Linked DNA regions of Cricetulus griseus. The protein of the gene in region 2 interacts with the protein of the main gene of each other region in a biochemical or structural test. Links are inferred from orthologs where the notes say so. Each region holds a gene or a part of one and is shown on either strand. Other genes may lie near its edges.

Evidence for each region. The genes of interacting proteins can lie anywhere in the genome.
Region 1: the proteins of Cltc (region 2) and Tom1l1 form a complex in vitro, tested with the Homo sapiens proteins (2 studies listed by BioGRID and IntAct). The link is inferred for Cricetulus griseus from reciprocal best matches to the Homo sapiens genes CLTC and TOM1L1.

Annotation. Positions count from the first base shown.
Region 1 is NC_048600.1:103,763,298-103,767,101, forward strand, and holds part of Tom1l1 (TOM1-like protein 1), read right to left. Parts: intron 850-3,804; coding exon 789-849; intron 471-788; coding exon 353-470; intron 1-352. UniProt on the Homo sapiens protein: Probable adapter protein involved in signaling pathways. Interacts with the SH2 and SH3 domains of various signaling proteins when it is phosphorylated. May promote FYN activation, possibly by disrupting intramolecular SH3-dependent interactions.
Region 2 is NC_048600.1:99,945,669-99,949,776, forward strand, and holds part of Cltc (clathrin heavy chain 1), read right to left. Parts: intron 3,255-4,108; coding exon 3,109-3,254; intron 2,898-3,108; coding exon 2,714-2,897; intron 2,547-2,713; coding exon 2,354-2,546; intron 1,534-2,353; coding exon 1,376-1,533; intron 754-1,375; coding exon 589-753; intron 465-588; coding exon 357-464; intron 276-356; coding exon 108-275; intron 14-107; coding exon 1-13. UniProt on the Homo sapiens protein: Clathrin is the major protein of the polyhedral coat of coated pits and vesicles. Two different adapter protein complexes link the clathrin lattice either to the plasma membrane or to the trans-Golgi network.

The DNA.
Region 1 (3,804 bases), about 3.8 Mb from region 2:
TCCTTTGTCCGCATCAGTTATTCCCTCCTTTGAGCTGTGGTACAGCAGAGAAATCTAACAATAATAGTCTATGTCTAGAGGAGATTTAAGTATTGGCTATCAAGGAGCAAAACCTGTGCAGGTCAGGTAAACTTCATGGGATTCTAAGCGATTGGGACGAGTTCCAAAACCCTCCCCCACACACCCCATTTGTTTGCTGAATCTAACCCAACCATTTTGCAGGGAAGTGATTACATCTCTGATAGTCAGACTGACGTCTGTCCCTCTCCAGAGGCATTCAACTAGGAAACCAAGGACAACTATCTCCTATCAGGCTTGACACTGGTGAGAGAAGGCCCAGTGGCTTATTTACTTAAGGCTGAAAGCTGAGAATTGACGGTGTGGAGTGCTTCCCCATTGGACATAGGCATTGGCACGATGGGACTAAGATCAAGAAGATCGCAGGAAGGAGCAGAGGGCTCGTTGGAAGTCTGAAAACAAAGCAGAGACAATTTAGGGGGGAAATCATGCAACTTCTTCTGGCTCTCTCTACACCCATTCCTTTGGAAATTTTCTGAGGAAAACTTCAGACCATGACAGCTCAAATTCCATCTCACTAAGCACATGAGTCCTTCCTTAATTAGAGACCCGTCTCACAACTTAAGATGGAAACCACATGGCCAAAGCCGTGGCAGGTTGTCACTGTGTGCTTCCTCTTTTAAAGAACTGTTTCTAGGGATTCTTTGCTTCCTGAAGGATAATTAATAAGATACTTGATCGTTTACGTTATGCCATTTCTAATCACTTACATCGGTGGCGTCCTTCGAGTTCCTATTCTGTTCCAAAAGCCTTTGTTGGTTTCGAGTGAACCTGTTTAAATCAGCAAAGTGCAACATCATTTATCAAAGAAAACCTAGCATTAGTAAATGCACAGATAGTTGCTGTAGTGATGCCAAGCCTCACCCCTCTCCAATCCTAGGGAAAATACCTTTAGTAACTAACTCTCTTCTAGGGGTGGGAATATGGCTTAGTGACAGAGTTTAAAGATCTGTATTCAGTCCCCAGTACCACAACACAGCCACCAAAACCCTTTCTTCTAGCTAATAGAGTACCAACCTTCTTAGAAAACACTGTGAGGAAATAGAAAAGTTTAGAAAACTTAATAAATCCTCTGTTCTAGAAATTAGCACTACTAGTAATATGAGCAGTTTGTGTATTCTCTAAGTGACTTAATTTCTATATTAATTTACTTACTTTAAGATAGTGTTTTGCTATGTAGCACAGGGCAGACCTATGATCGTCTTGCCTGAGTCTGGAGTGCTAGAGTTATAGGCATGTGCTATTGTGTCTAGCTACTTTTAAACTTAGTGGAAATTATACTTTATGCAATTCTGTATTCTACTTCCACTGTGTTGTATTTTTCTAGTCACTTAGAACTGTAATTTCTAATGCCTATAATGTTTTAACCATAATAATCAACAACACCCTCACCAGTTCTTATTTTCAAATATAAGGTTGTTCTTTACTTCACCATTATAAATAATTTCATGAAATCAAACCAACAGCTGCATAGATGGCCCTGATTAAACTAAATGGGTTGCTCAACTAAACAAACAAACAAACAAACAAATAAACAAAATCATGAGTTTGGAAAGGTACTGTGTGTGTGTGTGTGTGTGTGTGTGTGTGTGTGTGTGTGTGTGTGTGTGTATGCATGGGAGGATTAATAGATCGAGTGGAGAGAAAGACAGGGCTGAGGGAAAGAGTAACCAGGGTGAATTTTATGTATGTATACAACAGCCAAAGGATTAACTTAACAGAAAATATTCAAGTGCATGAAAAGTAGTCCAGTGTTCAGTGTAGCATCTTTAAATACTTGATCCGGAAAAAAAAAAAGACTGATCTTTTACAGTTTGGGCTTCATTTCCCATTGCTTGTCCACCAAGGTAAAAGGGAAGCAGTTAGAACAGTGGGAGTGTAAAAACCAGTGAAGCTGAAGAAGACCACATTACTCCCTACTCCCTATATGCCTGTGAATCTGACTGAACCTCAGTGTTCCATCCACTAAATGGGAATCTCATTTGAGCCATTTCTTCAGAGAGGCAAAATCACATAGCTATGGAGTGATAGATGATATATAGGCAGTAAATGTGGAGTTGGCTTACAAATTGAAAATGGCTTCAGAAACTTATGGTAGTACCATCATCACATTGAATTCAAAAAACCTAAACACTTCTGTACCTGAACACTGACTCCAAAAGCCTAAACACTTCTGTATCTGAACACTGACTCCAAAAGCCTAAACACTTGTGTATCTGAACACGCTCAGTTTTTAAACCAGCGATTCTCAACCTGTGGATTGGGATCCCTTTGGCAAACTTCTATCTCCAAAAATACATTACGATTCATAACAGTAGCAAAATGACAGTTCTGAAGTAGCAACAAAAAAAAATAATTTTAAGGCTGGGGGTCAACACAACAGGAGGAATTATATTAAAGGGAGGCAGCAGTAGGAATGTTGAAAACCACTGTTCTAGATGCTTCTAAATGGAGTGATGGAAATATTTTGCAGGTAGGATGGAGGTAAACCTTTGGAGACTTGGAGGCCAGACTGTTAGAAGAAGGAGAATAGTGTTCTCCTCTAATGATACCCATGTTCTACTTCACTTAGTGACTATTATAGGCTAGATTGAAACTGGGGGGACTGAAGACTGCAGAGGGAATGATGTCAGCTAGCAAGTTTACCTTGGCTAGGGGATTTTCTTGGATATAAGAGACACGCTCACTGTAGTCATAAAAACAGTACTTGAGAAGAAGGGTTTAGAAGAAGCAGGAAGAGTGTTAAGATGGGGGCCTTTCTAAAGCAGGTATTGGCACTGAAGATGGAATAAAGAGGTCATGGGCCAAGGAAAGCGGGCAGCCTTTATTGGCTGCAAAGGTAAGGAGATGGCGTCTCCTTTGGGACCTCCAAAATGAAAGGCAGCCCTGCTGCCATCTGGAGTCCAGTCCAGAGACAGACACTTGCATCTCCCAACCTGGAGAAATGAGTTTATAACCTAATAATAATAAATCTGTGCTGCTCAAACCATGGAGCTCGTGGCAGAAAAACAAAACTGGTAAGCATCTTTTCTAGGAGCCCCCTTTCTCTCTCTCAGAATTCAAGGACCACGGTCACCGTGGTACATGCTGTTCAGAGCAGAGTCAACACAAGCAATCCAAATGCCTGATGTAGAACAAATAAACAAAAGTTCCTCCTTGGAGAGGGCCTTTAACCAGTGTCTTACGGTTGGCAACAGAATTGTCCCAAATGAAAACCAGACATCAGCTCAAAGACTGAAAACCACGGGGTTACCCTTGGACATTTTTCTGCTTACAGAGATTTATGTCACAGGAAAGGGCAAGGACTGTGAGTCTGTCCAGTACTAAGAGCATGGTGACGGGGCTCACTGCCATGTTTTCTTACAAAAACTTGCCGTCCCTAAGAGGCAGTGAATGTGAGACTGTAAAGGAGAAAGGAACCACCACAGTACAGCTGCTGGCTTTCTCTTCCTGATTCTCTTGCCTCAGTGTTGGCACGGGGGAGAAAAAGAGTGAAAACCTTTGTGATTTTTAAAGTCTAAATGGAACATGAATGAGGATGGAAAAATGGTGATTCAGTGTGGGAAATATCAGGAGTATAATTCAGTGATAGAGCACTAGACTACCAGGACAGAGTCCCAAGTTCAATCCTAGCATCACACACAAAAATGTAATGAGTGTCAATATGCCACTGTGTTATTTGTTTGTAATATGCATTATCTCATTTACCCCTGAAAAATAAAATCA
Region 2 (4,108 bases):
CAGCTCTCAGCACCTGCACAACATAGACCAGTCGTGTAAGATGTAAGCCCAACTCCTGCTATCAGCCTAAATGATTAGAGCTGCCTTACAGTGGTGAAGATTGTTACCTTAGGAATATTCACTCTCGACCAGAACAACTCCAGGTGTTCCCTCATTTTCTGTGGCTTGAATTTAGAATACAAAATAGCTAGTTCGGTAAACATTCCCATGTGAGCTCGTTCTAGTCCCAAGGCTGCCTCCAACATGGTAATGAGTTCTTCAAAATATCCACGATCCTAAACAAGGGAAATGTGCAATTAGAGGACAGAATATCTATACAAAGATCTCAATCCATATAAAGGTCTGGTGTTCGTTACCTGATAGTAGTTGATAAGTTCCTCTAATTCATCTGCATGTACTACAATATGAAGTCCACACATCTGAGCAAGACGGAATTCTTTCCCATCTACACAGGCAAAGCAGACCTAGAATATAATTTTCCACTATGAGAATCCAAATATAAATGCAGACAGTTATTTCAACTCAACAGTACAAACAGAATTTTCAAACAGAATCTTAAGTCATCATTCAAACTTGGATTTAGATTACCTCCTTCCATGTTCGAGTACTATTAGCTTTTCTAGCACCATCAACTGCTGCCTGATATTCACCAAGGTGAACAAGGGTAGATGCCAAGCGTCCAAAGTTAGAAACATTATTGTACAACAGCTTAGCAGCATCATACATTTTTTCATCATAACAACGGTCACCAACCTAGTGGGGAAAAGGTAATCCATGATCAGTAAAATAGAGGTCTCAGTTCAATCCCTTTTTCAAGTTAATATTTTTACACTGAGGAATAGATAGGGACATTGCATATGCTGTAATCCAGTACCCAAGAAGTTGAGTCAGGAGCACCCCAAGTTCAAGGCCACCTGAGAGATTCCATCTCCAAAATTACAAACAAAATGAATGAACACACACACACACTCTGCCTCTAAGGATAATTTAATTTCTTAGCACTAATGTGTTGATTCTTCCAAAATGATAAAATTGCTTACTCCTTGAGTTTGACATATGTTTAAAATGTGGAGCCAGTGAGATAATTCAGTTGAAAGGTACTTGCAAACATTAGGACCCAGTTCAATACCCACCACCCACATAAAAAGCCAAGTATGATAGTATGCACTGATGCAGTGACAAACCAATCCTTTATACATGCTGGCCAGCTGGCCTAAATTACCTTTTGACACCCAGGCCAACAATAAACCCTGTCTGTGTTTTTTAAGCAGATAGTGCCTGAGTGGTAAAAACAGAGCTTGGCCTCTGGCCTCTGCATGCACCTATATACAAGCATCCCACTAAACATACACACATATTTAAACAGGAAACCCACTTGCTGAATATGAGCATTATTTGGCCCATTGATGAACTCTTCTAATTCTGCAAGGCGATTTGTTTTAGCCAGCGCAAATATCAATTCTGTTTCAACATAGGATTCTCGAGCCTTCTTTCGGGCCATTTGCAAATACTTCACCAGTTCTTCCCAGTTTCCTAAATAAAGAGACAAATAAGCCCATAGATTAGCATCCTTATTTTATATCTCAACCAAATATATAAGATCTGCTATTAGTGTGTCGGCGCCCCCCCGCCCCCCGCCACCGTCAACTACAATTATTATTAATTTATTTTTTTGAGAGTGGATTTTGCTATATGCTTATGCTTGTGGATTTTGCTATATGCTTATGCTTGCTGGCCCAAATTGCTTAGTGATACCCAGACCAACAAGAGACCTTTTTTTTTTTTTTTTTTTTTTTTAAGTGGATAGTGCCTTAAGGGGGAAAACAGAGCCTGTCCTCTGGCCTTTCATGTACCTACACACAAGCATTCCACAAACACACACACAATGATTATTATGATGCCCAGGCTGTCCATGAACCTAAGGCCTCCTGCCTCAACTTCCCAAGTGCTAGGATGGCAAGTGTACATCACTTCAGCAACTTAACTCCCTTTACAAAGAAACATCACATAGAATAACACATAAAAATGAATATACCTGAAAGTATAAAAATTCCACTATACTTCTGTATTATTGACCCAAAGAATATTTGATACCTTCCCTACATGCTTCCTTTAAAGTTACATATCAGAGTTCTATCAGGATTTTATTAGACTTCAATACAAAATTAACCTCTGGGGACCTTCTAAATTCACACAATGCAGTCAGACTTTAGCTGGGTCAACATGCTGGGCTAAAAGCTTTCATAAGTAATAAAGAAGCATCTAACTTTCACACAATTAAACGTTAAGATATCCAAATGCTTGGCTTAGCAATTTTCTAAGATCTCAAAGGCATAAAGATTAGAAGTCATACCACTAGTATTGGCAGCCTGAACAACTTCCATGTAGGATGAAGGATCATCTGCTTTGATGTATGAATCAATGGCTTCCTTCACCATTCCTTTCTGCAACTGAGCTTTTGCAAGTTGACTCCAAACAGCAGGTTCATTGCAGCGTTCAGCAAACTCATATGCACGATCCAAGTTTCCAATATGTTCAATTAAGACCTGGGCAACATTTTTGAATTGGTGTTACAGTAAAATGGATCTTATTCATTATTACCTATAGCATTTTTGTGATTATTCTATTGTGACAGCAATCTGTGCATGCCATCATAAGGCAATGCATTCTTTACACAAAGTCATTATCTCAATTTATCTAATTTCAAGATTACCTGAACAGCTGAAGTATTGACATCAAACTTCCGGAAAATAGCAAATGCTTCTTCAAACAGCTCATTGCTGATGGCAATATTGGCAATATCTGGAGCATCATAATTATCCAGGCGGTTAATATACTCCATAACACGTGTTCGGTCAGCCTTAATTGCAGTGAGGATGAGGAGGTTTTGCAGATTCCTTTAGAAACCAAGACATTGAACCACAAAGTTCATAAAGCCCATCAGTGATAAGGAATAAACACTACGGCACTGGAGGGTGATCTGTCTCAGGGGAAAGCGTAGGAAGAGGTCAGAGTATCAAGGAGTAACAATTCAGAAAACTGCCTCCCCAAACTGACTGGCTGCAATCAAAGACAGCAGAAAGCTGGTGCAATCCTCTGCCAGCGTACCTGTGTTCACTGAATACAGAGTTATCAAGGACAATTTTCTCCAGCAGTTCAATGAGTTCATTAGGAAGATCTGCTGTCATAAAAGCCTTCACAGTTACTGACACCTCTTCTGGGTCCTGAGTTTCAGACAAGGCTGTCTGTACAACCTACAGATGATATACAGGGAATGGTTATGAAAAATCAAAGTATTTTTAAAAAGACATGGCCTATTAAGAATAGGTTAAATAACTTATTAGAAAACCTTAAATAGAAGAAAAACTACCTATAACTTCACAACGATCTTTGTACACAAACATGAACACACATTAATAATTACATTAACATGAGCAATTATGTAATTTTTACTTTCTCCTCATAAAACACTGTCCATAACAACACTTACCACTATTATTTTAATGGCTTCCTATTTTCAAATCCCTAGATATAGATTATAAATTGAACAACCCTGGTTTTAGCTACTTTCATATGCCCAGACGCCATGATGACTGCAGGAAGCTTTCTATCTACTTGAGAATGTGCCTTGGAAATGCTTCCCCGGGTTAGTGAAAAACTCAGAGGTAGTAATCTATTCTTCAGAGTGCTGTACCTCTTTGTCTATCAGAGGAATTTAAGAATCATTATAATAATGAGCAATAACTAGCACTTTAAATTTGAGATTGCAATTATCATATAGGTATAAAAACTTGTGTACTGTGGTACTTTAGTTAGATTCACTATGATTGATTTGAGCATTGTGTGTGCTATTAGGTACTATTACTGTGGTTGTGTGCATCAATGCGTTCAGGTGCATGTGCATGTATCAAAGTGTCTTGATACCAGGTGTCTTGCTCACTCTCTATTTTTTTTTTAAAGATTTTATTTATTATGTATACAACATTCTGCTTCCATGTATATCTGCACACTAGAAGAAGGCACCAGATCTCATTATAGATGGTTGTGAGCCAACATGTGGTTGCAGGAACTGAACCCAGGACCTCTGGAAGAGCAGTCGGTGCTCTTA